4 linked regions of the Pelodiscus sinensis genome follow. The protein of the gene in region 1 purifies or fractionates together with the protein of each later gene. This does not show direct contact. Links are inferred from orthologs where the notes say so. Each region holds a gene or a part of one and is shown on either strand. Other genes may lie near its edges.

The links.
Region 2: the proteins of EIF3B (region 1) and MTOR purify together in Homo sapiens (affinity purification with western blotting; 3 studies listed by BioGRID and IntAct, with this or other methods). This does not show direct contact. The link is inferred for Pelodiscus sinensis from reciprocal best matches to the Homo sapiens genes EIF3B and MTOR.
Region 3: the proteins of EIF3B (region 1) and EIF3G purify together in Homo sapiens (affinity purification with mass spectrometry; 12 studies listed by BioGRID and IntAct, counting the BioPlex papers as one, with this or other methods). This does not show direct contact. The link is inferred for Pelodiscus sinensis from reciprocal best matches to the Homo sapiens genes EIF3B and EIF3G.
Region 4: the proteins of EIF3B (region 1) and EIF3E purify together in Homo sapiens (affinity purification with mass spectrometry; 9 studies listed by BioGRID and IntAct, counting the BioPlex papers as one, with this or other methods). This does not show direct contact. The link is inferred for Pelodiscus sinensis from reciprocal best matches to the Homo sapiens genes EIF3B and EIF3E.

What each region holds. Positions count from the first base shown.
Region 1 is NC_134726.1:28,589,087-28,596,149, forward strand, and holds the start of EIF3B (eukaryotic translation initiation factor 3 subunit B), read left to right. Parts: upstream 1-4,056; 5' UTR 4,057-4,212; coding exon 4,213-4,720; intron 4,721-5,023; exon of another isoform or gene 5,024-5,157; intron 5,158-7,063.
Region 2 is NC_134733.1:11,465,893-11,473,625, forward strand, and holds the start of MTOR (serine/threonine-protein kinase mTOR), read left to right. Parts: upstream 1-4,731; 5' UTR 4,732-4,883; intron 4,884-6,540; 5' UTR 6,541-6,582; coding exon 6,583-6,702; intron 6,703-7,180; coding exon 7,181-7,289; intron 7,290-7,733. Other genes in the region: UBIAD1 (ubiA prenyltransferase domain-containing protein 1), read right to left, coding at 1,325-1,812, 2,551-3,073. UniProt on the Homo sapiens protein: Serine/threonine protein kinase which is a central regulator of cellular metabolism, growth and survival in response to hormones, growth factors, nutrients, energy and stress signals.
Region 3 is NC_134729.1:14,996,247-15,003,322, reverse strand, and holds the start of EIF3G (eukaryotic translation initiation factor 3 subunit G), read left to right. Parts: upstream 1-4,061; 5' UTR 4,062-4,200; coding exon 4,201-4,220; intron 4,221-4,606; coding exon 4,607-4,653; intron 4,654-5,175; coding exon 5,176-5,295; intron 5,296-5,376; coding exon 5,377-5,465; intron 5,466-6,060; coding exon 6,061-6,120; intron 6,121-6,397; coding exon 6,398-6,502; intron 6,503-6,695; coding exon 6,696-6,885; intron 6,886-7,076. Other genes in the region: DNMT1 (DNA (cytosine-5)-methyltransferase 1), read left to right, coding at 1-120, 236-352, 620-710, 1,115-1,152. UniProt on the Homo sapiens protein: RNA-binding component of the eukaryotic translation initiation factor 3 (eIF-3) complex, which is required for several steps in the initiation of protein synthesis.
Region 4 is NC_134712.1:30,022,400-30,029,822, reverse strand, and holds the start of EIF3E (eukaryotic translation initiation factor 3 subunit E), read right to left. Parts: upstream 3,019-7,423; 5' UTR 2,950-3,018; coding exon 2,860-2,949; intron 468-2,859; coding exon 353-467; intron 1-352. UniProt on the Homo sapiens protein: Component of the eukaryotic translation initiation factor 3 (eIF-3) complex, which is required for several steps in the initiation of protein synthesis.

The sequences.
Region 1 (7,063 bases):
AACACCTCCTCCTCCTGCGCCCAGCTCCCTTGGTGGGGGGAGTGACACCCTCCTGCAGCGCTACGCGTCCTTGGGCGGGCGGGAGGAAGAGCAGCCCCGGCACCCTGGGCAAGGCAGCCCCCCTCCCCGCTGCCCCGTTCCGTACCTGTGCCGGCTCCCCCCGCGCCTGCGGACACCTCCCCGTCCATCTCGCCAGCGGTCATGTGAGTCCAGAACCCCAGGCCTCCCTCTTCTTCCTCGCCAGAGGGGCGGAGCGGGCGGTGGGGGGCTGGAGAGCCCGACTCCGCCTGCCCTGGGGGCGGGGCTGGGCCTGGGAGGCTGAGCTGGGGAGTCCCCAGGCAGGGATGGGACGCGGGAGGAGAGAGGACGCCGGGGGAGGGGGAAGGAAGGACATACAAGGGGGAGGCGATGGAGGAGACGCTGAGGGATAAATGGGAACACCAGGCCGGGAGAGCGCTAGAAAGGGGGACAAAGGGAGAGGGAGGAAGAGATGGGGGAGCATGAGGGAGGTGACTGGGGTCACTATAATGTTCCAATGTTTGCATTAATGTCCATTCTCTTTCCCTCCCCACAGCAGTACTTTAGTCTGTTCTCCACCCCCACCCCACCTTCTGTGCTCATCACCCTGTTACGGGGACACAGCATGCCACCTCCCCCAGCTCCCCGGGTGTCACATTGTGCATGGCACGTCACATATCACCATCCTTCTCCAGCATGGCACAGAGACAGTCTGACGGCCCTGCTATTGTGTGGTGTCACGGCTAGGAACTCTTGTGAGGCAGTGTTGATACCACAGCATTCTGATGCAGTGCCATCATGCTCTGTGATCATGCCACCACACAACCTTCTGTTCTGGCAGGAGTAAAGCACATCCAAATATTATCTCCCATCTAAACACCATCATATCACAACATCATTTCAGGACAATGGCCCTGATTTAGCAAAACACTTAAACACATACTTCAGTTTCATGCTTTAGGATAATGTTGGGACCCATCAGCTTTCTCATAGACAACCCTGTTACATTTAAAAATACTGGAACAGGTCATGTAATCAGTGTTCCCTGTAAGCTGTGCACGTACAGTCACTCGGGAGTGATTCAAATGCCACCCAGCTGATTAGCAGGGCACCCAAGGCTGGGTTTTGTGTTCCTTCTGGTGGTGCACATTTGCACATTTCTGATGAATAGGACACCTCTAGGCACTATTGTAATATAAATAACAATTATTGGAGTAAGAGGGAAAACTTTTGGGTCATTTGCACCATGGAAATGGCAGGGGCAAATGGACTCAGTGCTGCAAACATAATGGGTATTTACCTCATTGTTCTGTATGCAGAATGTTTACGGCAGCGATCTCAAACTCTCAGCCCACAAGCCATCACCTGTTGGAGCAATTGTGCAATGCAGTCTGGGACTCCTGGTGGGCCAGGGAGGCCCTATTTGCTACCAACCCCAAATCCTGCCCTGTCCCACCAACACCCTGGTCTCTGCCCCTCATGGCACCCCATCCCTGAGGATGCAGCTTTGGGATCACTGGGGAGGGCCTAGTGCTGTGCAGCAGCAGCAATCACAGACACCCATACTTCTCATGGCGGCAGGATCCCAAGGGAAGTGGAGCACACTGGGCAAGTGCAAATATTTTTCAAAGGGGGAAAATGTGATTGACTAAAAAAATGGCAGACAACAATAGTCACCAGAAATGACTTAATTCATATTAACAAAATTACTAGATTTCAAGTTGATGGTGACCTTCTAAATAAATAATTTCAAGTAGGGATGTAAATTCTCATTAAAAAGGTTAACCAATTACATGATATAATTTTAATAATTTAACTGGTTAACTGGGGTACAGCCAGATTGCTGAGGGTCCAGCATGGCCTTGTGTTGGCAGGGCAGCTGCTCCAGCCAGCAATGATCCTGCCACGCTGCAGGGCTGCTTCAATCAGCTGGGGTCATGCCACAGGTGGCCTTGTGTTGGCAGGGCAACTGCTCCAGCCGGCAATGATCCTGCCACACTGCAGGGCTGCTTCAATCAGCTGGGGTCATGCCACAGGTTGGGGGTTTCCATAGCCAGCTGGGGTCCCGCTGTGCTGTGGGCAGGGGACTGCTCTGGCTGGCCAAGATCCCACCTCACCTCAGGACTGCTCTGGACACCTGGGGTCCTACTCCGTCAAGCTGCAGGCAAGGAATTGCTTTGGATGGCTGGGTTCCTGTGACTGACAGCAAGGCTGCTGGCTGGGTCTGGGCTCCTGCTATGCTGAGAGTAGGGGACTGCTCCAGTCTAGTGGGGTCTTGCTGTCCAGGCCAAAGTGGGAGGGAGGCTGTGCCTTCCCTCCCCGTGCCCGGATCTCCAGTTAATCAGTTATCAGGCAAGCATGCTTGTAATGTTTACTGGCTATCTGAAATAGCAACCCGTCCTCTAAGGGAACACACCCATTATTTCTAAGTATTTTTCGAAATAATGGACATGCTATTTAGCCATCTCTATAAACCTCATTGCACGAGGAATAAGGAATGGATCGAAATAGCCTATTTTGAAATAAAATCAAAATAAAATACACAATTTGCGTAGCACAACTTGCATTTCTTATTTCGAGTTTAGGGTGCAGTGTAGATGCACCCCCAGTTTCAAGGTAGTCTTTATCTTTCATTACATAAGCAAAGGTTCCTTTCAGCCATCCCTTATCCAGTCATCAGATTTCAAAGCGGTAGCCATGTTAAGTCTATTTCAGCAAAAAACAAGGAGTCCACTGGCACTTGAAAAACTAATAAATTTAGTCTTTCAAGTGCCACCAGACTCCTTGTTTTTGCTGAAATGACAGAGAGCTCTGTATCCCATGTCTTTTGCTTCTGATGAGACAGTAACTCCCCACATCTCAATACTCAGGGCCATCCATGTAGGGATCCACTGGACTTGGGGCCCTTACATGAATGAATGGCTCATCATTAGAGCCCTGTGCAGATACAAAATTTATACCTGCATCTACAAAAATATCTGCACAGACATCTGTGGGTGTGGATACCCACAGATATAAAGTGACTAGCTGCAAACTTGTAGGGTTCTAGATACAAACTTTGTATGTGTATTCATAGCCATACCTGCAAAAATGAACAGTGGCTATGGATACAAATACAAAGTAGGTATCTGCCAGTTTGCAGGACTCTACTCATTATCTCATACCTTATGCCTTTAGGCTGTGGCCAGCTTGCAGGTGGTGCCCCAAACTTAATTGCTCTGTATCCCTGACCGTAAGAGCCTCTTTCAGGTGTGACACTGGGAGGAGCTGGCTTCCTGGAGGTGAGCAGCTCTGCACACATTTTCCTAGGGCCTTTGCTCCAGACAGAAAACAGGGCTTCATCATATCCCTGCCACACCAGAATAACACTGGGAAAACTCATGATACTATATACGTGTCTAGAGAGAGTGCGTGTCTCTAAGGTGCCACATTTAATTGGGACAGGTCCTGCATTGGGCCGGGGGCTGGACTCGATGATCTCCTGAGGTCTCTTCCAGCCCTGTGATTCCATGACACAGGACGGCTGCCACACGTGCCTATTCCCAGCGCCTGGAACCTCCATGCGAAGTGCTCTTCCGATCACGTGAAGGCTAGCGATGATGTGGCGGCTCTTCTTGGACCGTACCATCCTTAACATGACCCCATCTAATTGGGGGTTCAAATATTCTCTCCGGTTTTTGCTCTGCGTCGCCTCTGCAGCAATAGCGCCTCACGACCAATCGTGACCCTCCCTTCGATTGACGTTAGTAGCGTCCATGAGTTGGACAAGTCCATTACACCACATTTGTAGGGGTACTAGGGCTATATTGTCTCCTCATTTTACCGTTTTCTCACTTCGACTTCATTGTTTTAAACACACTCATGTATCCTATACACAGGGCGCATTTTATTTTTAATCTGTACAAAGAAGTGTATTTGGTATCCCTCCCTTTTCACCGTCCAAGATGGTTCAGACAGATCTCACGTAGGGCTGCAGACGAGGGCCGCCATGTTGGACTAAACCAACCTTGTGTATGAAATAGGGAGAATGGGGCTTGATGGGAGATAGAGATTGAAGTCGCCCTCAGGCTCTGTGGGAAGCAGGACAGAGAAGAGACCCGGGTGATTGTCGCGCGTGTGGCCAGAGGAAAGCAGCGGGTGAAAAGCCATCCCCCCCCCACGCACACGCGAGGAGTTGGTGTGTTCCGCTTCGCCATGCCCGCCGGGTCTCGCGCACATGGCCTAGGAGTAGGAGACTCCCCTCCCCCCTGCCTTTCCCCGGAGAGTCCGACTGAGCGCGGCCGGCCCAGCAGCGACCCCCTCCCCATGCAGGAGACGGAGGAGAGTCAGGCGGCCGCGGCCGGAGCCGAGGGGTCCGGGGACGAGCCCGAGCTGCCGGACGGGCCCCTCCAGCGGGAGGAAGAGGCCTCGCCGCCGCCCGGCTCTCAGGCGGAGCAGCCGGCGCCGCCATCGCCCACTTCCCCGGAGACGCCGCCATCGCCCGCTTCGCAGGGGGAGACGCCGCCATCGCCCGCTTCGGAGGAGGAGGAGGAGCCCCCCGCTGCCGAGGAGGCCGCCAGCCAGGAGGAGCCGCCCGGCCGCCAGACCCCCGAGGAGAAGGCGGAGGCCGAGGAGCGGGAGGGGGCCGAGTCGGCGGAGGAGCCCGAGGACGACATCTCCTTCAGCGACCCGGAGGATTTCGAGGACGACATCAGCGAGGAAGGTGCGGAGGCCGAGGCTGCGCCGCTGGGGCCTAGGCCTGGTCAGGCGGGGCGGGAAGGGGCGAGCGGCAGGGACCACAGGCCTGTGGAGCCCTCAGAGACCGGCGTGCTCGCCTGGCCTGAGGGGGCGTAAAGTCCGCAGACGGGGCCCTGGACGCTCCGTTCTCCCCGGCGCCGCGTGAGGGAGGCGGGCGCCCGTGCCCTGCCTGAAGTCGCGGCACTGATGGGAGTGGCGGCCTGATGGGAGTCTCTAGGCCCGGCTCGCCGAGCTGTGCTCCTGCTGAGAAGAGCATGGAGCCGCGTACCGTGGTCCCCTTGCTGACTAGTCGCGGAGGCGCGTGTCTTCCAGACTCCCCCAGTGCCAGGCGGTGCCATCCCGCTGGGCTGCAGCTGGTCCGGTGACACCGGAGGGAGGGGGGACAGCTGGAGCGGGTGCTCACCCAAGCCTCTCTGTGACCTGCTGCGTGGCGTGAGCTGGATGTATGTGATGTTTCTGTTACAGCAGCATGTTCAAAATCTCTTTCAGGATAGGGGCACTTTGTTATACTTACAAATGCACAGTGGGGATAGTGTGTCTGCCTTGAGAGGCTCACGGTGTTAGCTTCTGTGCATGTGTGAGCAGTAGAGATCCCTCTTCTGTATTAGCATTTGTAAAGTATACTTAAATTAAAACTTAAGAATCAACAAGAGACCTATAGCACCTTAAAGACTAACAGATGTGTTTGGGCAGAAGCTTTTGTGGGTTTAAAAACATGGGGGGAAAAACTTGTAGTCTTTAAGGTGCCACAGGACTCTTGATTGTTTTTGCAGATAGACTAACATGGCTATCCCTCTGATATTAAAACGCTACTCTTAAGTTATAATATAAAATCTATTAAACCAAATCTCTGAAGTACCTTTCATGTTAATGTACCTTAAAGTACAGAGTAAACTTAATTGCCTTTTATTTTTAAACCCACTAACATTGTTAGTATCTGCATATTTGCGGCCCAGGACAATGAAATAACTCACATGCTCGTTTCTTATCCTATACTTATTTTAGATCAGTGGTCACCAACCAGTAGATCAGGATCTACCAGTAGATCTTGGAGCCTCTGACAGGTGATCCTGACAGGTTTGGCTGGGAGGCTATCAAGTGCCTGTGTTCCAGTTGCCCCTCCCTGCACTATCCTGCTGCTCTTGCTCAGAACTGCCCCTCCGAGCCTCCTGCTTGTTCAGAGTGGGGGAGACAGAGGCAGAGGGGCATTGATGTCACTCTGACCCCATTCCCTGTACCCCATCTTCACAGAGTAAGGAGGGTGGTGCTTTGGTGAAGGGGTGGAGTAGGTATTTGGGTTTGAGGTAGATCTTGGACTGACTTAAATTCAAAAAGTGATCTTGTGCTTAAAAAGGTTGGAGACCACTGTTTTACATTATCTGGCAGAGGGATTTTTAAACTAGCCTGTCAAAAACCAGTGATTGGTGGATCTTTCAAGGGTCTACAGAGTGAAAAAAAATTTAAACAGTAGGGAGAGTAAAGAAGGTTAGCGGGTAGGTAGGTAGGATCAGTGTGAGTGGGTAGGATTGCTTTTATGAGGGTTATGATCTTCAGTTATTGTATTCTGAAGAGCTTTTTGTTTAATATTAGTGAATCCAAGCTACGAGGCTACATGAAGAATGTAATTAGCTGCCATCACGTGTAACTATCTAAAGATGACTGGCATTTGTTGTGTTGAGTTGAATTTTGATTTGTTTCTTGAATCACAACTATTTTACTATTTGGAGTGGTTCTCAAACTTGGAGTCAGGACCCCATTATTGGGGTCTCCAGAATTATTTTAGACTAGTTAGAATGTGAGGCTGAAGCCTAAGACTGAGCCCCACCATATAGGGCCAAACCCCAAGGGTGTCAGCTGTGGGTGGTGAGGTTCAACTTACAGCTCCAGGACCCCTGCCTAGGACTGAGGACCTTGAGTTTTGGCTTGTCCCACAGACTAGGCAGTGGGGCTTGTGCTTTGGCCCCATCCCTTCTGGGGGCAGTGGGGCTCGGGCAGGCTCAAGCTTTGGTACCTGCTCCTGGAGTCATGTAATGTTTGTTGTCAGAAAGGGATCACGGTGCAGTGAAGTTTGAGGTTCCCTGCTATTTAACCCAGTAAGATTGCACACAAGGGATGTAAGCGACTAGTCGACTATCCGATAAACAAAAGCTTATTGGATAGTCAGCTAGTGCCTTGTCTAGTCACTTCCCCCTTACTTGCTGCCCCTGTCAGAGTGTGGATCAGGAGCTGGTGGCTGGGGAGCTTAAAAGCCGGTTCCCCCCCCCAGCACCATCTCCTCAGAGGACTGGGGAGGCAGGGAAGTAGCGGA
Region 2 (7,733 bases), on another chromosome or scaffold:
TCCTACAGAGTGATCTAGAACTTCAAAACTGACCAGTGAATCACAGGAGCATCATCAAAACATTGCTCCCCCCCACACTGGAAAAGAGAAGAAGAATCTATCAGCAAGAATAATGTACTCTCCTGATTTCTGTACAAAGTCACTGCAGAAATTTAGACTCCTTCCTGCAATGCCCCCATCATTCTCCCTTGCTGCCTCCAGCTTGCCTTACAATAGGATGACAAGCAACTTTAAGTAGATGACAGATATGGAGAATGACAAAAAACACTTTGCTACTAGAGACTTGCAACTACAACATGTGTCTGTTAGTCAATATCCAACTGTCTACAGAGCTTTGTTACCCTGCCTGACAGTTTTGGGGGGGGGGTTAAACACCAAGACTTTTTCATCTTAGGCAGAAGGGTCTGAGCACGAGACTAACATAACATCAAGAAGAGAACTTTTCATCTCACCAAGTGTTTATAAGCTTCTTAGCTGCATAACTTGCACTTCTGACCCCTAGCTACTTAAAGAGGGAGTGGAAGTTCACTTTTGGCTTTAAGCTCAGTGCAATGGAGCAGTTATATTCCATTTCAGCACCTATATACCACAGCAATGGATACTTTAGAAATGCCTAGGTAGAAAGGCACTGGCAGATCTGGCAGTGGGAGCATGAGAAACTGCTGTCTTCCATAAATCAGCAGTTCTGGATGGATACACATGCCCTATTTCACATTGCTATGAGACTAGGAAATACAAGATCAAGATTAAGCAGAAATTGGGGGGGGGGGAGAAAACAGTCCGGGTGGTGGAGATGAAGATTTATAATGAAGGGAGTGAAGTAACAGCATCTGCTTTATTGCAATGCTGACCAAGTTAAAGCTTTGAGTGGCAATTTGCATGTGGCACAGTGTAGAAGTGGAGCTACTGAATCTTTGCTTCATGTTGGGAGGGGATGACTCACAGATCAAGGTTCAATGTGCCTGGGAGGGGAAGGAAGAGTTCAAACTTGAAGCTCAGCCCTGCTCTCATTGAAGTTAAGTTCCTTTGAATTCAATGACAGCAGCAGCAAGTCCTTGAAACATCTGTCTGCTCTCAGGGTGAACTGCAATAAGCACCAAGAGAAAACAAGACCCATGTTGTCAATTCAACTCTTCTCCAAGACACCATTAGAAGTCTCTAGTACGAGAGAAACCGTTTATCTCAACAAGACCAAAGCCCACAATATTCACATGGGGTCACTGCCTTGAGCTAGCCTTCTTGCTCTGGCCACCATCCACAACAAACCTCCGACTTCCAACCGAGATCTGCCATTAACACTGAAGCCACGAGGCAGCGCTAGCTGTTACAGTTTGGGCAGTGTGCCTGGTGGTGCCAGCAGAATACCAAAAACATAGAAGAGCCCCAGCAGGAGATTGAGCTTGGCTGTCCGCTGGGGAAGTTTGCTGAAACTCTGGCTCCGGAACTGCCTCTCCAGCGAAAAGGCCATAGGAATGGTAAGTAGTGGTAGTGCCATGCTGATGGTATAGCGTGTGGCCAAGACGCAAAAAATCAGGTAGGGCAGGAAGAGTAGTGTGTTGTAGAGCATGTAGGAGAACATGGGGCCAATGAGGATAGCCAGGGTGACAATGCCTGCTTGCTGGTCAGATTCCATGTCCCGAGTGTTGTTGCTGTGCAGGATGGCCTCCGTGCTGAGGGCTAGTGGGATAGCATAGAGCAGCGGTGAGACAGACAGATAGCCAACCTGCACGGCATGGGCAAACATAACAGCCAGGGGTCCAAACGTGATGAGGATCACCAAGTCGCCAAGTGCAACATATTTAAATCCAATTCCTGTGGCAATAAACAAGATGAAAACAAGTGTCAAGTGTTACCAAGTAAAATTTACTTTACAGAGAACAACAGATGTTTCTTAAACAGATCAGCTCCTAAAAATTGCTGTAAAAGCCAATACACAGCTAGGGCAGGGCTACACACGTTCTTTTATTGCCCCAGAATTGATTATCCTTTACCCTTTCCAAAGATAATAAAGCAAATACAATTTTTGCAATTTCCAGTCTCAACCAGTGAGCAAAGATTAAGGGGCAGATTCCAGTTATCCATCTGGAATACCTTATTCCACAAGCAGTCCTACTGAAGTCAAAGGGATTACACATGAAGTACAGTGCTACCCAATGTGAATACAGATAGAATCTGTCCATGAGCTGATGCAACAATGAGAGTAGAGTAACAGCTGCTACATCTTCCAAATGATAGTTTGTGAATCCTAGAAACTAATCTTACTTATAGCAAAACACAGGGTATGTCTCTTCATCTACCAGATAGCTTAACTGATGAGGCAAAATCAACTTTTTTTATCTTGAAATGTCCCTTAAAAATATCTTAAGTTTACTTTTCATTTGAAATTAGATCTGGCCAATAACAAATAACAAACCCTACTGATAGTACACATTGGGCTCCCTCCATGGAGAAGAGAGCATAAATAATTAATCAAACCAGCTGACATACACCAGATATACATTTCACACACAATTTCTGCAGAGACTTAAGAGTATGGAGTACAACCCTTACCTCCAGTATAAAGGAAAGAGCTGGAAAGTCCACCAAAGTAAATCAGGGCCAGGTGCTCCAGCTTGAGAGTAGAGAGACAGTAGAGGCAGGCAGCACAGACACAGCCCAGAGTATAGAGGAAGACCCCAAATCGAACCACATCCTGAGGCTCCAAGATCTGGTCCACCAATGTCCGGTCATCACTCTTCTTGTGGTCAATACCCTTTGAGAAGTCATAGTAGGTATTAACCAAGTTGCCTGCTCCATGCACAGCCAGGACAGCCACTGCACTGCCCACTAGCAGCCCTGGGTCTAGGGATCCTTGGGACCGATAGGCTAGGGCACTGCCCAGAGCTACAGGAGTCAGAGAGGCACTGAAGCTCCAGGGCCGCAGGGCCAGGACATAGGCTGCACATTTCTGCCTCCAGGTGCCTGGATGGCTCTTCTCAGAGCTTAGCAGCCCTACACCCAGCTCCCCCAGGTCAACACTTCTAGGGCTCTCAGCACTGATGCTAATCTTCTCTGTCTGATCCTCAGACTCCATGCTCTTCACGCAGCTGCTTCAAGAGAAGGTGCTGGACAGAGACCTGGGAAAGCCAGGAGAGTTTGCATTAGTAACTGTAGCCTAAAAAGGAAACCGGCTTCTCCGGTGGCTCAACGGTGGCACACAACCCGGGGGGGAGCTGCCAGGCCGTGGGGGAGTCCGCCCGCAATGTGAACCTCTGCCCACAGCAGCACAGAGAGCGAGTGGCAGGGCCCATCCCATGCTGGGCACCACAAGGGAGAAGCCGGGTCCTCCCGTGGCTTTCACCTCCACGTGCGGCGCCTCGGCCCCCGCAGCCCATTTCCCCGACCTCCGTGTCCCCTGCGGGAGGAAGAAAAGGCCCCAGGGGCAGGGGCGCAGCCCGGGTGAGGCGCCGGGGAGGCAGCTCCGAACCCGGGGCGGGGCTGAGCTTGCTTCCCCGACTTACGGGGCTTAGGGTGGCTCCAGGGCCCCCTCGCCTGTTGCAGAGCCAGGTCCCCGACAGGCCTCTCCGCTCACGAGCAGGCCGGGCACTCGGGACCACGGCAACCACCCGGAGGTGCTACGTGTGCACCAGCCAGGCCGGCCCCTCCAGAAACAAGGGCACCGCTTACCGAGGTTCCGCTTGCTCTGAGGGCAACTCAGGGCCTGAGGAGGGGGAAGGATGGGGGAAGAGCCCCACCCACACTGTTAGTAACTCAATGGGGGGGGTGCCTTCTCGCAGGGGCGAGGTGGCATAGTTAGGTGAAACCCCTTCCTTGGCGTCACTCAGCCAGTCCCTAGCAGAGCTGAGGGTTGACCCTTGCAACCCCATTTCCATTCTTTAGCTAGAGACTATAGAGACTTCCCTATGCCCAGCGCTGCACACTGGTGCTTGTGATGCTGCATGCACACACAGGCCCATGCAGGCGGAACAGTCTACCTGGGCCATTGTTTGCAAGATCAGAGCCTTAACCTCTCCAAGCCTCAATTTTCCCAATCTGCAAAACCCGGGATAACAATCCAGAGAGAGTAATATGCGGGAAATACTCAAATAAACTGGTAATAAGTGATAGAGGAAAAGCGTAGGACGTTAATACCTGCCACATTTATTAAGTTATTAACCATTATTATGAACTATTACGGAGCATCCACATCTGTTCATGGGTAACAATAACAAGCCTGTTTATTTGAACACTTCCCCATTAACATTAGCAGTAGATCATGGCTATTAAACGCTCTGTGCGGATTATCATTGTACCTATTCGCTATTCTACGTGTCACAAACGCGGCTGGCTTCTACACGCGTCATTACGGGAACAGAGCGCTCTTCGGGGGGGACTCATTTCATGGCTGCACCCAGAACAGTAGAGACGCTGACAGCGGGGGATAAAAGGGTTCACGCGGCGGAAGACTCCTACAGTCTCCACGCTTAGAAAAAGGGCCGATGCGGCGCCTTTTCCGCTTGCGCACAAACCTGTATCGCTTCAGAAAGGGCGGAAGCAAGGCGGCTTTCCAAAGACGGGGGCAAACTCTGAATTCTAACCAATTACGCGGCCTCTCGCTGACCATTGGTGAATCTAAATGTCAGTCTATCACTCTCTGCCCTTTGATTGGCCAGAAGTAACTCCACCCGCCTCCAGCGGGTTTTTTTTTTGGAAGGGGTGGAACCACGAGCCGCCTAGTAAACCCTCCTGCCCCGCAAAACTATTGGCTGGGCCACCTGCTAGTTACAGTCCCCTCAACGCCGATTGGCTGGCGGTTTTTCGCCGGGCCGGCGGCAGCAGTGGGGGGGAGGGGAAACCCGGGGCCCAAGCTGGGGAGCCGGTCGCGGCTGGGCCGGGTGGAGGCGGTGAGTGAGGGGGGCCCCGATCCGGAGCTGGGAAGTCATCCCCCTCCCCCCAACGCCGGACTGCGGGGGCTGCCTCCCCTCCCCCACCGCCCGGCCGGCTGGCGCAGGCGTCCAGCAGCCGGAGCCCTGTCAGCGGGGCCGGGGCGCTGCCCTGGGGGCTGCTGGCAGGGGCCCGCCCCGCAGCACGGGAGATGCCCGGAGCTGGTAGCCCCCCCCCCCCCCCGGGGCCTCCCCGCTCTGCTGCCGCCGGGGCTGGGACCGTGGCCTTGGAGCTGCGCCGGCTTCCCCCTCGCCCCTCGGGGAGCGGCCGGGTCTGAGCCCCCCGCTCATGCGGGCAAGGCCGCTGCCCTTGGCTCTGGGCCCGGATCCTAGGCCTGGTTGGCCCTCGCTAGGCAGGCTGCGTCCACCCCTCGTGCATTTCTCTCTCCGGAGAAGAGGGCGCCTCTCTGGGCTGCTCCTCCAGCCTGGGTCCGAGCACGGGAGCCGGCCCTGGCCTGGGGGGATGCTGGTAGCTGGAAAGATTCCACACTAGACTCAGAGGCATCTGCTGTACCCGAGGATTTTAACGACGCAGGGTTGTCCAGTAGCTAGTGAGGAATAGGGACCCAGGGCTCCTTAAGGGTCTGACCCTAGTTCTGCTACTCATTTGCTGTTTGCCCAGTAGTAAAGTCTGTGACCGGTTTCCCCCTTTCTTAAAAAGTGTATTTTTAACCTTTGCAAAAAAAAAAAATGCACCTATCACCATGGTTTCCAGACATGCACAATATTAAACATCCCATTAAAGCAGTGATGGGCGATCTATTTAGCGAGCGGGCTGCATGAATCTCCAGCCTGCATCTTAGCGGGCTGCAGAATTAACATAACCACGGTGGTCTCCCAGGTTAAGGTAGTTTTGCTAACTCTGCTTGCATGCCTAGAACTTTCAGGGTGAGCCAATTGAACCGTAGCAGTGCTTTGATTGGATGCAACAGGAACACTCGGCTCTTGCAGTCAATGTTGTATGCAAACAGCATGTACCTCACTTCATGTTGCCCACCACTGCATTACAATGATGGTTGCTGGCATGAACAGATTCTCGGCCTATAAATATACATTGGGGTTTGACTGTGTTTGTAAAGAATTTTCTGTTCTTGGATGAAAGGCAACATAGAGGAGCAAATTAGAGTAACAATAATATTGACATGCATGCCAAGCGGTCCTTATCCTCCTTGTAACTTTGCATGACTGGGAACACCTCGGAAGCACAGCCCAGTGTGTATATTTGGGCGTGGATTTGATTTGAGCATGTCACATGTGAGCATGAATGGTTTGGGATGAGACTGGGGGAGTAAGGGAGGTTAAGCTCCGACCTGCTTCTGTAGGATGCACTGAAGGACTTAGCAACCTAGTGAAGGACTTAGTGGCCAGGGTACAGACTCTTAGATTCCACAGATCTTGGTGAGACTTAAGTGAACTCTGGAGCCCTACCAAGGTCTGTGAAATGTGAGAGCCTGTACCTCTGTCATGGATCTCATGGAATCTTTGTAGTTACTGTGGCATCTGAGAGCCCACTGTGTCTCATGGCATGTGTATTTGGGAGCAGTAATTTGGAGCAGTGTGGTGGAGGGAGCTATAATTGGCTTCTGCAAAAGCAAAAAATAGGTTTTCTGTATAAAAGGTCCACCGGACTTGATGCCCCAAGCCCTGACTCATCACCACCATGTCGGGCACCGTGTCCATCCTTCAGCACTTTGCCAGCGGCCTGAAGAGCCGCAATGAAGAAATCAGGGCAAAAGCCGCCAAGGACTTGCAGCATTATGTCACCATGGAGCTCCGTGAGGTAAGTGCTGTAGATGTGGAAGCAGCAGCATTTAGCTGGGGAGATATGTTTGTATTATGTGGCTGGGGAATGAGAGGTGTCACCAGTAGGGATGTAAGTGACTAGTTAAGTGCTGTAGATGTGGAAACAGCAGCATTTAGCTGAGGAGATATGTTTGTATTATTTGGCTGGGGAATGAGAGGTGTCACTAGTAGGGATGTAAGTGACTATTTAAGTGACTACTTGACTATTCGCTATCCACACCCACCCCCACACCCCAGCCCCGCTGTCTCTGGGGGTAGATCCCAGAGCTGGTGCAAGCTGGGACTGAGCAGTCCCGGCTCGGGCCGGCTGTGGGACCTGTACAGCTCTGTATTTTAAATGTAGTAAGAGCTGCCTTTGAATTTGGGAGCCTGGAAAGTGTTGTTGCCCTTCTTCATCTGGGGCACAGGTAGTGGAAAAGGGATTATAAATCGGTCTGAATTCCTTTCCTGTGCAGATGAGCCAAGAGGAATCCACTCGTTTCTACGATCAGTTGAATCACCACATATTTGAACTGGTCTCTAGTTCTGATGCGAATGAAAGGAAAGGAGGCATTCTGGCTATAGGTGAGTAAAGGAATTCATCAGCATCTTTGGTGAACTTCCTCTTCAAGTTCTATAGAGGCAGGTTGTCAAAAGAACTCTGCACCTACAAGAGGCACTCTGTATGCTGAAGAGAGCTCAGTGCAATGAGGGTGTATGGGATGCAGAACTCTTAAAACTCTGAGGCTGCTCAAGAGGGCTTATACCTGAGCAGGAGCGTCGGAGTATTTGCGCAATAACCACTGATTTTGTACATTACAAAGTCAGTGTTCTTGCACAAATAGTCGTGGCCAGTGTAGACAGGCGGCAAGATTTTGCGCAAAATTGGCCACTTTTGCTCAAAATCATGCCAGTCTAGACGCAGCTTGACTGTAAATGTCACATTGGGAGCTGTTGGTTGCTGAGCACTTCTGAAAATCTGGCCCTATGCTCTTTATAGTGTCCAGTGTTGTTGGTGGTCATAATAGG
Region 3 (7,076 bases), on another chromosome or scaffold:
CCCTGGTGCCTGCCCCACACCGGCAACCGGCACAACCACTGGGCGGGGCTGTACGGCCGGCTGGAGTGGGACGGCTTCTTCAGCACCACCGTCACCAACCCGGAGCCCATGGGCAAGCAGGTGGGTGAGCGCGACCTGGCAGGGGCTGGGGGGCGGGGAGGCGGCCACACAGCGTGGCCTTGTGGGCGAGAGCCTCCTGTGCGGGCCCTTGGCCACAGCTGCCTCTCTTTACCAGGGCCGGGTGCTTCACCCGGAGCAGCACCGGGTGGTGAGCGTGCGGGAGTGCGCGCGGTCGCAGGGCTTCCCTGACACCTACAGGCTCTTCGGGAACGTGCTGGACAAACACAGGCAGGTGGGTGTCGCCGGGCGGGGCGTCTGCGCGCAGGAGCCGAGCCCAGCGCCACCCCTAGGTTCACGGCGGGGGAGGGCTCCTGGGCGGGGGGCTAAGCAGGTGAGTGGTGGAGGGCCAGCGCCCCGCCTCAGCAGCAGGGGGCAGAGAGGCGGCTGGGAAGCAGGGTCCCGGGGGGGAGAGGGGCTGGCTCAGAGGGTCACGGGTGTGATCGCACTGGGAGCTCGTGGCCGGATCTGGGCCCGTGTGAGCTCCCCCCTCTCTCGGCAGGTCGGGAACGCGGTGCCTCCGCCGCTGGCCAAATCCATCGGGCTGGAGATCAAGGCGTGCGTGTCGGCGAAAATGAAAGAGGAGGCCACAGGTACCTCGGGGGCGGGCGGACTCCGGGCCTCTGTGCCTGTGCTGAGGGAACGTGAAAACGGAACCGTGGGGCTGCCCTCCTGCGGGCTCGGCGGTCTGTCCTCGGCTAGTGGGCTGGCGTCTGTTCTCCCCCTTGGCCGCCTGCTGCCCACGCTCGACGCCCCCGCCCGGCCCGGCTTGGGGGAGGATCGGCAGGGCCGCAGCTTTAGAAAGGTCCCTGAGCAGCTGGCTGAGTGGCACCCGGAGGCCGCCCCGCCAGGGTCTCAAAGCGGGCGGCTTGTGGGTGTTCGTGTTACGGCGCCGCCTGCTGCCCAGACTGGCTAGTGGCTCCCAACTCTCAGCCTTGCTGGGGGGCCAGGCTGAAGTGGGACCTGGGGTGACGTTGACCCTCTTGGCCCTTGGCAGAGCCCAGCAAAGCAGCCAAGATGGAAGTGGCGGACTAGCCCGAGTCCCCGGCCTCGGACTCAACCATGCACTGATTTTCGTGTGTTCTGTTCTCGTTGGGCTTGCTGCCGTGACGAGGTCTGTCTCCGTGTTCGTCTCCCTGGCGCCGCGGGAGCTGTGTGTGATGGTCCAAGTGTCACTACTAATCATTCGTGATCGGCTGTGCAGTGCCCCACCGCATTCTGGATTTTAAGGACGATGTTTTTATTATGCATTGAAAATAATCAGCCACTTCCTGCGAGTGGCAATTAATACTCTGTAGTTTTTATATGTTGTAATATTTCTTCAAATAAATCTCGCCTGTAAATTATCCCCTCGGGGACGCTTCTGCTTCCCCTTCCTGGCGGCTGTTGCTGCGCCGTGTGTGAGGCGCCGACTGGAAGCTGCTGCGCTGCAGGCTCCCCCTGATCCTGCTCGCCCCCCCAGCCGGCACGAGGCCATGGCTGTACCGCTGCGGCGCTGGGCTCCATGCTGCTCCCGGAGGGGCCCGAATGCAGCACGCCTGTGAACAGCGAGATGTCTCCGGAGGGTGCCGGGGTCTCCAGTTTCTCAGAAGCCTCCGTCTTTCCATGGACTCTGCGTTCTGCTGCTTGTGCCTGGGCTGGCCAGGCCTTCCACAGGGTTGCGGGGAGTTTATTGCTTCTCCACGATACAGCCCAGCACAGATGTCATCTGGTTACAGGAACTGGGGCTAGGAGGCCTCAGTGCCCCCCTTGAGATAGGGGAGTCCCAGCCCCCTCCCCAGCTCCTTCTCCCCTGCTTTCCAGCCAGGAACTAACCACCTCTCCTCCAGCCCTGCCCCCCAGCCAGGGCAGCATCCACCTTCCTTTGTTCCTCTCCATGGGGGGTGGCTGGTCAGACAGGTTGAGAGACCCTCTTTGCATAATGACTCATCCTGGTTTGCTGGGCCGTGGTACCAACTGCAGCCAGTGGGGTTACCCCAGAGCCAGCAGCATAGAAACCAGCCAGGTACCCCCACTACGTCACAGCCACGTGGCCCACGTGTTGAGTAGCCCTGGTCTAGACCATCCCTGATAGAGGTCTGTCCAACCTGCTCTTAAGTATCACGAGCGATGGAGATTCCACAACTCCCCCCCCCCCCTCCCCCGGCAACTTATTCCAGTGTTTGACCCCCTCTGACAGTTGGGAACTTTCCTAATGTCCAGCCTGAACCTCCCTTGCTGCCGTTTAAGCCCAGTGCTTCTTGTCCTGTCCTCAGAGGCCAAGGAGAACAAGTTTTCTCTGTCCTCATGACACCCTTTTAGATACCTGAGAACCGCTCTCATGTCCCCTCTCAAATCTCCTTTCCAAACTAAACGAAGCCAATTCCTTCAGCCTCCCTTCATCCGTCATGTTCCCCAGACCGTTCATCATTCTTCATGTAGTGCACAGTCACGTTGGCTTTTTTTACAACAGTGTCAGGCTGCTGACTCATTTAGCTTGTGGTCCACTCTGACCCCTGGCTCCCTTTCTGCCGAACTCTCCTAGACAGTCACTTCCCATTGTGTGAGAGACACGGATTGTTCCTCCCTAAGTGGAGCACTTGGCGTTTCTCCTTCTTAAACTTCACCCGATGTAGCTTAGACAATTTCTCCAGTCTGTCCGGATCAGTTTGAATTGACCCACTCGCAGCCCCGTCCAACTTAGGACCATCTGAGCACTTAATAATGGCGTAACTGGAGCCTGCACGCCTCCCTTTCCTACTGGCGCCTCACTCTGCCCCACGGGTCTACGAGGGGTGGGAAATGGGGGGCGGGGGCGGCAACGGTCTATGAGGTGGGCTCACAACCCAGGGCCGTGCCCTGGGGCCGTGCTGCCCCTGCCCCAGCGAGGGGAGAACACGCAGGCCGGACTCTGCTCAGCAGCAGGGCAGATCCCTGGGAGAGGCCTGGCCCCTGCCCCGCGGTTCCCAGCTGTTCCCTTTGACGTTTCCAACCTTGGGGCAGGCTTGCTGGAGCAGTGCTGCCTAGTAGGCTGTGCCTTGGAGCCGCAGCGTCTCCCCATGTGCGCTATGGCCGGGGGTCCCAGCGCCCCGCATGTGTGCTATGGCCGGGGGTCCCAGCGCCCCCCATGTGCGCTATGGCCGGGGGGTCCCAGCACCCCCCATGTGCGCTATGGCCGGGGGGTCCCAGCGTCCCCCCACGTGCGCTATGGCCGGGGGGTCCCAGCACCCCCCATGTGCGCTATGGCCGGGGGGTCCCAGCACCCCCCATGTGCGCTATGGCCGGGGGGTCCCAGCGCCCCCCCCATGTGCGCTATGGCCGGGGGGTCCCAGCGCCCCCCCATGTGCGCTATGGCCGGGGGGTCCCAGCGTCCCCCCACGTGCGCTATGGCCGGGGGTCCCAGCGCCCCCCCATGTGCGCTATGGCCGGGGGTCCCAGCGTCCCCCCATGTGCGCTATGGCCGGGGGTCCCAGCGCCCCCCCCCGCGCTATGGCCGGGGGTCCCAGCGCCCCCCATGTGCGCTATGGCCGGGGGGTCCCAGCGTCCCCCCACGTGCGCTATGGCCGGGGGTCCCAGCGCCCCCCATGTGCGCTATGGCCGGGGGGTCCCAGCGTCCCCCCACGTGCGCTATGGCCGGGGGTCCCAGCGTCCCCCCATGTGCGCTATGGCCGGGGGGTCCCAGCGTCCCCCCATGTGCGCTATGGCCGGGGGGTCCCAGCGCCCCCCATGTGCGCTATGGCCGGGGGGTCCCAGCGTCCCCCCATGTGCGCTATGGCCGGGGGGTCCCAGCGCCCCCCCCATGTGCGCTATGGCCGGGGGTCCCAGCGCTGCGCCCTGCGGGAGCCCGGACCCCGCCCAGCAGGGGGCGCCGCCGCTACAGCCCCGCAGCAGGTGCGTCTCCCGGCATGTACCGCGCCAGCTCCGCCCCTCCCCGCTCCCGGCCAGGTGCGGCTCCCGGCATGCACTGCAGCGCCACGCCCTCTCCCAGCAGGCCCCGCGCCGCCATGCCCACGGGGCCGCTCTAGCCGCGACTCGCTGCCCCGCGCGCTTCCGCTTCCGGCCCGCGCGAGAGAGGGAGCGAGGCTGAGTCCTGCCGTCGCCGCCATGCCCACGGGGGACTACGAGTGAGGGGCGGAGCCGAGGGGGCCGGGGGGCTCTCGGGGGGCGGGGCCGGGGGGGGATCTCGGGGGCCGGGGGGGCTCTCGGGGGGCGGGGGGAGCCGGGGGGCTCTCGGGGGGCGGGGCCGGGGCGGGGCCGGGGGGGCTCTCGGGGGGCGGGGCCGGGGCGGGGCCGGGGGTCTCTCGGGGGGCGCGGGGGCGGGGGGGGCCGGGGGGCTCTCGGGGGGCGGGGCCGGGGCGGGGCCGGGGGTCTCTCGGGGGCGGGGCCGGGGGGAGCCGAGGGGGCTCTCGGGGGGCGGGGCCGGGGGGCTCTCGGGGGGCTCTCGGGGCCGGAGGGGGCGGGGCCGGGGGTCTCTCGGGGGGGCCGCTCTGTGACTGTCTCTGTCCCGCAGCTCGAAGCCCAGCTGGGCGGACCAGGTGGAGGAGGAAGGCGACGATGGTGAGAAGCCCCCGCGCGCCGGGACCCCCCCGGACCCCCCCGCCCCTCCCGGCTGGGGGCCGGGTTCGAGCCTGCAGCTCCCGGGGGCCGGGCCCCCCCACTTGCCGGGACGCGGGTGACTGCGCTGAGCTGCTGCAGGGCCAGAGCCTGGGGGTCCCCTGCCCTGGGGCTTCCTCCTGGGGGGGGGGGGTCTGAGGAGGGGGGGGCAGGCTGGTTGCTCTGTGCCGGGGGGGGGATGGTCTGAGGAGGGGGGGGCAGGCTGGTTGCTCTGTGCCGGGGGGGGGGGATGGTCTGAGGGGGGGGGCAGGCTGGTTGCTCTGTGCCGGGGGGGGGGATGGTCTGGGGGGGGGCAGGCTGGTTGCTCTGTGCCGGGGGGGGGATGGTCTGAGGAGGGGGGGGCAGGCTGGTTGCTCTGTGCCGGGGGGGGCAGGCTGGTTGCAGCCTCTCCCAGCCCCGGGGCGGAGGGGGCGTCCTTCCCCTCCCATCCTTAGATCAGTGCCGCGACCTCGCTTCTCTTCCCAGACAAATGCGTCACTAGCGAGCTGCTGAAGGACCTGCCCCTGAGTGGGGGGCTGAGCGTGACCCCGACCGTGACCCCCCAGAGCGTGGACCTGAGCGCAGATGCTGAGCTGCTGAAGGGAGGTAAGAGCCGCCGGGGTGCAGGACCCCCTGCCAGGAGCACCTGGTCTCACAGTTCTTACCGGCTTCCCCTTCCCTCTGTAGGTCCTCTCCCGTCCCCAAAGGAGCTAATCAACGGGAACATCAAAACCATCACAGAGTACCGGGAGGAGGAGGATGGGCGCAAAGTGAAGGTGAGTGGGGGGGGCGCTGGAGAGCAGGCCCTAGAGTTCCCTGGGCTCCCGGCTGGAATCCTGCGTCTGCAAAGCCCTTCCCAGCCCCTGAGCAGTGGGGCTCCCCAGTCTGGGGCTTCATTTGCTTTCGCTTCTCGGCCACTTTCTCCTAATCGCAAGGACTGGCCCTGCTAGGACTCACCCCCCTCCGAAGCCCCCACGCGCCCTGTGGCCCTCCTGCCCCATGGCCCGGCAGGCAGGCATGGCAGCTGGAGCATGGGGTGGCAGGCCCCCCCCGGCAAGCTGTGACCCCACCTGACCCCAGGGCTCTCAGCGACTGGTACTGTGGTCAGTCCAAAGCAGCCGGGAAAGGCCTCGAAAGGAGCTCGCAGAGCCAGGGGGCTGCTGAGTCCAGAGCCAAGGGCCAGGGTGGCTAGAAATGGAGTCTCTGGCCTCTGTCAGAGGCTGGGAATGGGCAAGGGGGGCGGCTCACTGGAGGGCTCTGTCCGGTCCCGCTGGGGCGTCTGGCAGTGGCCGCTGTCGGCAGCCCGGACCCTGGGCTGGGTGGGCCGTTGGTCTGACCCCGCCGGGCTGCTCTTCTGTGCTTATGTCCCAGATCATCCGCACCTTCCGCATTGAGACCAGGAAGGCCTCTAAGGCTGTGGCGCGTCGGAAGGTGAGTGAGCTCGGCCCTGGCCGCTGGCCGGGGGGTGGGATCACAGGTGTGTGCAGGGCGCTGGGAAGTGCCCCAGCCTAGTCCCACCCCACTGCTCCCCTGGGAGCCCCTTGACCTGCTGGGCAGCAGAGCTGGGTCCCGGTGTCAGCCGGGGCTCCCGTGCCTGCAGGACGCTTGGTGTCAGGGCCTGAGACGGCAAGGCCCAGGGAGTGCGTGTGGGGAACGGGGGGACGGTCTCCTCAGCCCCTCCCCCACCAGCTCATTGGCTCTTGCCCAGAACTGGAAGAAATTCGGCAACTCCGAGTTCGACGCTCCGGGCCCCAACGTGGCCACGACCACCGTGAGCGATGACGTCTTCATGACCTTCATCACCAGCAAGGAGGTGAGGGCAGAGCGGGGAGTGGCGGGGGGGCCCAGGGCTCTGACAGCAACCCATGGGCCCTCCTGCCCCCGTGCGTTGGAGCTGGGCTGCTCTAAGAGGCGGGGGGAGTCCAGGCTCGCCGGGGTGGAGTCCGGGGCCCTGCCCCTGGCGAGGAGGGCGCCGTGGGGCTGACGGGGCTCCCCCTCTGCTGTAGGACCTGAACTGCCAGGAGGAGGAGGACCCCATGAACAAGCTGAAGGGGCAGAAGATCGTGTCGTGCCGGATCTGCAAGGGCGACCACTGGACGACGCGCTGCCCCTACAAGGACACGCTGGGCCCCATGCAGAAGGAGCTGGCCGAGCAGCTGGGCCTGTCTACGGGCGAGAAGGAGAAGCTCCCAGGAGGTGCGGCTGGGGAGGGCAGGGGGCACAATGGGGCACTCTGGCTTGACTGTGGGCTGGCCAGCGGGGGCAAGGCAGGTCCCCAGGCGTGGGAGATGGGCAGGGGGCTGTGTCCAGAGATCTGGGGCTATGTGAAGGCTTAGTGAACCTGGCTGTGCTGCCTTGCTGTATGCTCCCACTGGGTCCCCCAGTGC
Region 4 (7,423 bases), on another chromosome or scaffold:
GGAATGGGGGGGAAGAGGGGAGGAAGCAAGGAGGTCCAACCACCACCTTACCTGGGTGAAAGGCTATGAACTCAAACCTCAAGAAACCACCTCGTGTTCTGCCTCCTCCAGCCGCCGCCTCAGCCACAGCATTGGGCAAAATCAGCCACAGAGACAACTGTTTTTAACAACAACAACAAAACTAGGGGTCCTGCATTTTGCTTCAGCTACCCCAGACTAACATGGCTACATTTCTATCACTAGGGATAGTTTTGAGACAGTAAAATTGACAGTTGTTTGACAAGATTGTTATTCAAGCTGTGATTTTAGAACTGATTGCAAAATCCACAGATCCACTTATGACCAAGCTTACCATGAGGAATCTCATCTGAATAAAGGTTTTTGTACACATCCATAGCAAAATCCACCATGTTGGTATCACTAAGAAGGTCCAATTTTCCTTGAAGTAATTCTTTTTCATTGTATATCTGAAAAAAATAAGTTAAATGATTTCTTGTGACACAGTGAACAGCTCTTTATAAGGACTTAAAAATAGCTCTGCCTATTTACGAATAAGGTGACGATAACAGAACCTTATATTTTACATTAAGTAAACTCTCCACAATTCTTTCCCACAAGCAGAAGACGCCATGGCAGTGGTCACCAACCAGTGGAACAAAATCTACTGGTAGATCCTGGAAACTCAGGAAGGTGATCCTCACTAGTTTGGCCAGGAGACTGTCAAGCGCTGTCACTTCAACTGCCCTTCCCTCACTGCCATGCTGCTCCTGCCCTCTGCCTTGGAGCTGTCCCGTGGAGTCTCTTTGCTGTGAAGGGCAGGCGAGCCAGATGATGTCAGGGTGTCCCCCTCCCACAACCTTGTACCCATCTCTACAGAGGGGGGAAAAACAACACAACAGGGCTTGGGATGAAGGAAGCTTGCTAGAAACAGTGCCTAAGGCTGAACATGTTCGGCATACATAAAGGAGCAATTTGAATCTCTGTCCCTGGGCCTCTCCTGTACTCAAACTTTCTCCCAGAGCCTGTACCTCAACCTCTGCCCCAGCTTGGTGAAAGTGAGTGAGGATGGGGGAGGAACAGACAGAGTGAGCAGGGCAGGGCCTCAGAGAGGGAATGGAGCCTTAGAGAAGAGGTAGGACAAGGATATTTGGATTTGAGGTAGATCCTGAATTGCACTTAAATTAAAAAATGATCTTGTGCTTAAAAAGATTGGAGACCACTGCTCTATAGGATATTTGTATGTCCTATGGTGGGAACATGGAGTCTTGTACATTGCACTGTAGTAAAATGTTAAATATTTTAACATCAACGAATATTCTGCTCTATGACCTTTAACATTATACCTGGCTTGATCATTTACATTCAGTAAGAACCACATGGCTGAAGCGTGATAAATCCAATGGAAATATTACACTAATTTTTAAGTAAAGTATGTATGGCTATAGACTAAATTAATGCAGACAGATGACCACAGAAAGCAGTGGGGGGGCTGAGGCAGGGCAGACAAGGTCTACCACTGCCGTGGTCTTACCCCCACCCCCAGGCAATGTCTACACTGGCAGCATCTTGTGCAAGAAAAGAAGCCTTGCGCAAGAAAAGAAGCCTTGCGCAAGAAAAGAAGCCTTGCGCAAGAAAACATCCACGCTGCCATGTGTGAGCTGTGCTGGACGCTCTCTTGCGCAAGAAAGCTCTGATGACCATTTTAGCCATAGGGCTTTCTTGTGCAAGAAATTCCTGCTGAGCGTCCACACTGCCCCCTTGCACAAGAGCTCCTCCGCAAAAGGGCTTACACCTGTTAAAAAAGAACGTAGCTCTTCCGCAAGAAGCCCTCTCTTACCACGCCATACTGTAAATTTCCTTGCGCAAGAGCAGGCGGGCAGTATGGACACACTGTGGATTCTTGCGCAAGAACGGCCATAGTTGCACAAGAAGCCGGGAGTGTAGACATAACCAGAGACAGTACTCTAGGTTAATTCATAGGAAGGTTAAGGCAGCAGTCACGGAGGCGCGGCGCCCCCAAAATGTGGGGTCTGACTCTGTTTTGATGATTCTTTGTCACAAACAGTCAAAATCTAACAAAGTGGGTCTTTGCCCACGAAAGCTTATGCTCCTACACTTCAGTTAGTCTATAAGGTGCCACAGGACTCCTCGCGGCTTTAGTCAAAAACTAAGTAAAACTGAATTCACTGGAACAGCCTGTCCAGCTTGTTGAATTCTCCCCCTCCCTCCCGAACACTGAATTCTAATAAAGTGTAATGGATTCTTTCTTTTTACAAAAACCATGTTTGCCTCTTCCCTAACAAATTATGTCCCTCTATGTGTAGATACATCAGTTTAAGCCTCAGAGCCACCAGGTTCTTCAAGAACACTAGAAGGTTTACAGGAGACAAACTATGGTGGTAAGAAAAGTCTCCCCTGCCTAGGGAGCGATGGAAGAGCGGAGACAAGCCGATACAAGGGCAGCTCCGCGAGGTTTGGCGGCAAGTCCCTTGTCTCACGGTGGGGGAAACTTCCCCCAATCCGCCACGTGTGGGGACGGGGCCCAAGCCGCGGGCAGCTGAGGAAGGATCCCCGCCCTGCCCCTGTGAGGAAAGGGGCCCCAAGTCTGCCGTGGGTGGGCGGGGAAAGATTCCTCCTCCCCGCATCCGGCCTGCGAGCAGCTGGGGCAGGCCCAGGCAGGGGCTTCACGAACACCCTGCGCACCGCCGGCTCGTGACGCTGCCTGTGCGACAGGCCCCGCGGGGAGGCCGAAGGCAGCCGGGCGGCTCCGGGCCTCGTTACCGCTCTCCCCGCTGGCTGGTTTCCGCCTCCCACGTGCCAGCTGCGAGCCCGCGAGGGGCGGGCCCGGTCTCCACGTACCTCCTTGACGGACAGGAACTCGAGCAGCGGGAAGACCAGGTGCCGGTCCAAGAAGTGCGCGATGCGGGTGGTCAGGTCGTACTCCGCCATCTTGGGAAAAGGAGGGGCGGGGCCGCAGCCGCCCCGCTTCCCCCCACGCGCACGGACGCGCACAGCGACGCGGCTACGACGCCGTCGCGAGAAGGACGGAGGGAAAAGGCGTGGTCTGGGGGGAAGAGAGCGCGCGTGCGTGGCGTGGCGTGACGTGACAGCGAGAGGGCGCGGGGCTGTGCGCGTGCGTGCGGAGATGGCCCGAGCCGCGCGTGCGAGTCTGGCTGAGGGCTGGCAGCCAGTCGGAGTTCTAAAGAAGCTTCGTGTCCTTTCCTACGTCGTGCGCGCGCTGCGCGTGGCTTGACTCAGCGTGGCCGGAGCCGCTCAGCGGTGTGGCCCTGTCCGGGGCTTCCCCACCTACAAGCTGCTCTGGCTGCATTGAAACCCCTCCCTTGGCCCCCTGAGTTGCATGGCACGTGCAGGCCCCTACGCAGGCATTGCCCGGGGAGGGGGGGGTCTTTTTTGGTAAATGTGGACCACTGTTTGTTTTAAATATAAAGTTCAAAATAGGCACCTAATGAGTTTAGATAAGAGAGGTTAATGAAAAACTTGAGTGGAAACTGATGGGTAAAGTGATTTTGTTATGCTAGACATTTATACTGCAATAAAGATTTTATAGAAATTACCTTCTGGGATCTTCCCATCATATTGTAAATGAAAAACCATATTGCAAAATATTGCAGTCTCCCTCTCTGGTTGCCCAGGAAGGCTGGGGAAGAGTCAGACTGTGGCTGGCTAGGCTGCCTGGCCTGACCTGTGGGAGGGACTGGTGGCTACCCAGTCTCCTGCCAGAGCAGCAGAGCCCTGCCCCTCTACGGGAGGGCTACGTCTAGCCTGGCATGATTTTCTGCAAGTGCTTTAAAAGGAAAAGTTTTCTGTTAAAAGCATTTGCGGAAAAGAGCGTCTAGTTTGTCACGGACGCTTTTCCACAAAAGCACTTTTTGAGGAAAAGTGTCCGTGCCAATCTAGACATGCTTTTTTGTGCAAACCAAATCGGAGCTGTCTACACTGGCCCTTTTGCGCAGAAGGACTTTTGCCCAAACGGAAGCAGCACAGTATTTCCGCAAGAAGCACTGATTTCTTACATGAGATCGTCAGTGTTCTTGCCGTAATTCAAGTGGCCAGCTGTCACATTACCTAATTTGAGGGAAGCAGCCAGATCGCTGCTGCACCCCTAGGTGGGGGTGGTGGCTCCAGAAAATGGTATAAAAGGGGGCCATGTGGGGTGCTGAATAGAAGCTTATTATCTGATAATCCTATGTAAGATATTTATGTGGTTGTATAATGTCTGTGTGTGTAGTTAGGAATCTGTAGTCTGTGTGGATACTGAATATTTCTCTGAATGTGGTTGAGCATTGGGCAGAGCCTGGCCTATGGACATGCTAATCATAAAGGCCCTGTGGGACAATGGCACTCGATGGGCCAAGGACACACCTAAAGCATGAGGGCGGACATCTAAGAGCTGCCAGCAGAGAGAGGCTGAGGACCAGGTGACCTGCTGCAGCCAAGAAGAGGCCAGGAAGGTGGTATAAAGAGGCCATGTGGTCGAAGCCAACTTGGTTCTCAGCTCAGCACTTCATCCCAGAGGCAGCATTGCAAGGATCGAAGAGCCCGGAAGACCTGTGAACCCATCCTGATACTAGGATGTGCAACAAGAACTTTTAAACCAGCAGCTGTAACATCTCTGCTAGAGCCTGCATCGAGGACTGGGAGATTCGGTGCATGTAACGTACTATTCTTTAACAACCTTACTCTCATGCTTTTCTTTCTTGTGATAATAAACCTTTAGATATAGATTCTAAAGGATTGGCTCAGCGTGATTTGTGGGTAAGATCCAGAGGGTAAATTGACCAGGGATCTGCGACTGGTTTCTTGGAACTGGACAGAACTTGTTCTGGGTAGGTGAGATTGGGTGCTAGGACCCCTCCCCCCATCTGTGTATGAGGCCTGGGGCCATCTGGGGCACGGATATTGCTGGGGTGTCAGAGGGGTTTTGCTCATGAGGCTTCAGGCAGGCTGCTGAAGCGCTCTGTGGGACTGGTTTGTGGCCTGTTTGGAGAGGTCACCAGTCTGGGGGCTGTAAGGAGCCCAGGATTTGAGCAATTCGCCCTGAGCGGACGCCCTCAGCTGTGCCCAGACATGGCCTGGTCTGTCACATCAGTGTAGGCAGCTGCTTTTGCGGAAAAACTTGCCAGTCTAGACACAGCTGCGGGGGGGGGGGGGGGGGGGAAGCTGGGGGAAGGAGCGGCAGGGGAGAAATCAGCCCCAGCCTACCTCTGGCGGGCAAGAGACAGGCTAAGGAGCCTTGGACAGTGTGCTGCTCCTGCCTTCCCCCAGCCATCTGGAGGAGGGAGGCTCAGGCAGCACACTGCTCCTGCCTTTTCCCAGCCAGCCAGAATCGGCCTCATGGGTGACCAAGGGGGGAGGTCTGTTTGCACCCTTCACACACCCCTGCCACTGCATATGGCCCTGACACGGGATGATCAGAGACATAAAATCACCACAAATACATAACAGAGAGGCTCTTCCAAGTATGATTATCATACCATGTCTTCAGTCTAGCAGTTTGCTCAGCATTTATTGTATTTTTCATCTCCTTAGTAAAGATACTTACTTTAGCTACACTGCCCTCTCTTGCGCAAAAAAATACGCAAAGGAGGTGAAGTGTGGAATATTGCTGTGCCTCATTTGTATAATTAATGAAGTTCCATTTTTGTGCAAGAGCCGTTCTTCCGGAAAAAAAGCATAATGGGTCTTGCGCTAGAGGGGTTTTTTGCACAAAAAGGAGCTGTGTAGATGGCTCCATTTGCACAAAAGCCTCTTGCGCAAAAACAGCCTAATTAATTATGCAAATGAGATGTGGTGATAGTCCACATTTCACCTCATTTGCATATTTTTTGCACAAGAGAGGGGCCGTGTAGATGTAGTAAGTGTGTTTTGGGGATTTAGCATAGAAAGGGTGTAAGGAGACTTTGTATGTTATGGCCCCACCACCTGTGGAGTTACATTTCCTTTCCAGGGGTAATCCCATGCGAAAAAACACCATCACTACCACCACTGAGATTGCTTTGTGTTGTTTGCCCCCATCACTCAGTATCTGATGCTTAGCTGTGGGGAGGAGTTTAACTGCCAGAGAAGTGGCTGTTGCTGTCCCTTCATTAGCTGGATCATTAGCATATGTACTGACAGCACACTTCTTGGAAGAACCCCCAACCCTGTCTTAAAGAGACAGAATAGTCCAATGGCACGTTACAACAAGGGTAAGCAGCTTTTCCAAAGTGGCATGCCAAGGTTTAACTCTCCTGCCCTGGGTCATGCCGCTCTCCCGGGAGGGGGGAAGATGCCCTCTCCACTGCACACCCCATGGACCACCTCGGTCAATGCACAACTTTCTGTGGACTACCAGTTGCTAATGGAAACTCACTGTTAATTGCATATGAAAGAAGATCCTATAAATATGGGGTGCCTTGCATGGGACTCCGGGTCTCATCTTGGAGCATCGGTCTGGACCGACAGAAGCCTGGCTCCTCACTTCTCCTCCCCTGGAGAAAGGGTTTTTTTTTTGCACAAAATGGAAGCGGCTACACAGATTCTTTTTGCTCAAAAAGAAACGGCAGAAAATATGCTAATGATGTCGCAACTTATGCTAATGAGTCTCTCATTAGCATATTTTCTGCTGCAAAAACGAGTACTGTAGACAAAGCCTAAGTGAGCCAGTTAAGCTTATGAGATGTGCAATGTGCTCAACAAAAGAAGCAAAATCTTTTAAAAAAACAAATTAAAAGGTTTTTTCCCTCCTCCCCCCGCAAAGGGCTGTTGAGGTAGCCCTGGAGTATTGGTATAAACCATACAAATTCTAGATATGGTGTACTGTCCCATGTAGTGGCACTTAGACCACTTACAGAGAGAAAGAATAAGTCTGCTCTGCAGCCATAGCTGAGCACCAACTGACTTTTAGCTCAAGCTGTAGAGGCTCATGCAGTAAGTTCTAGAAGTCCAAGGCTTGGTTCCACACTGGACTCTCTGGTGCAATGATCATAGCCTTAGTTTGATCACTACTTGTGACCAAAAGAATGTTGCCAGAATCTATCATCTTTAAGAGAAGATGTTAGTGGCTCTATCAAGTACCCCAAAATCTGGGCCACTATCAAGCTTCCATGTGGCACAGCAAATATCAAGGCAATCTGGGTAACTTTGTAAAATTTAGCACACTTAGAAGAGTTTCACTTTAAACGAAAACCTGGTCTGAATCCTAAAACGTTAGCTGATGATGCTGTTTTATCTTTCCTGTTTGGTTCACCAATGATTCAACATAAGCCTTTTCAAGGTAGTCAGCCATCACAGGATGGGCAACCTATTCAGATAATATTGCATATTATGTGTGGGTGTGCAGGAAGGGAAGCACTTATGTGAGATGAGAGGAAGGAATGAAGGAAGTTATTTTCATAATCAAATGATATCAAAGGTAATATAT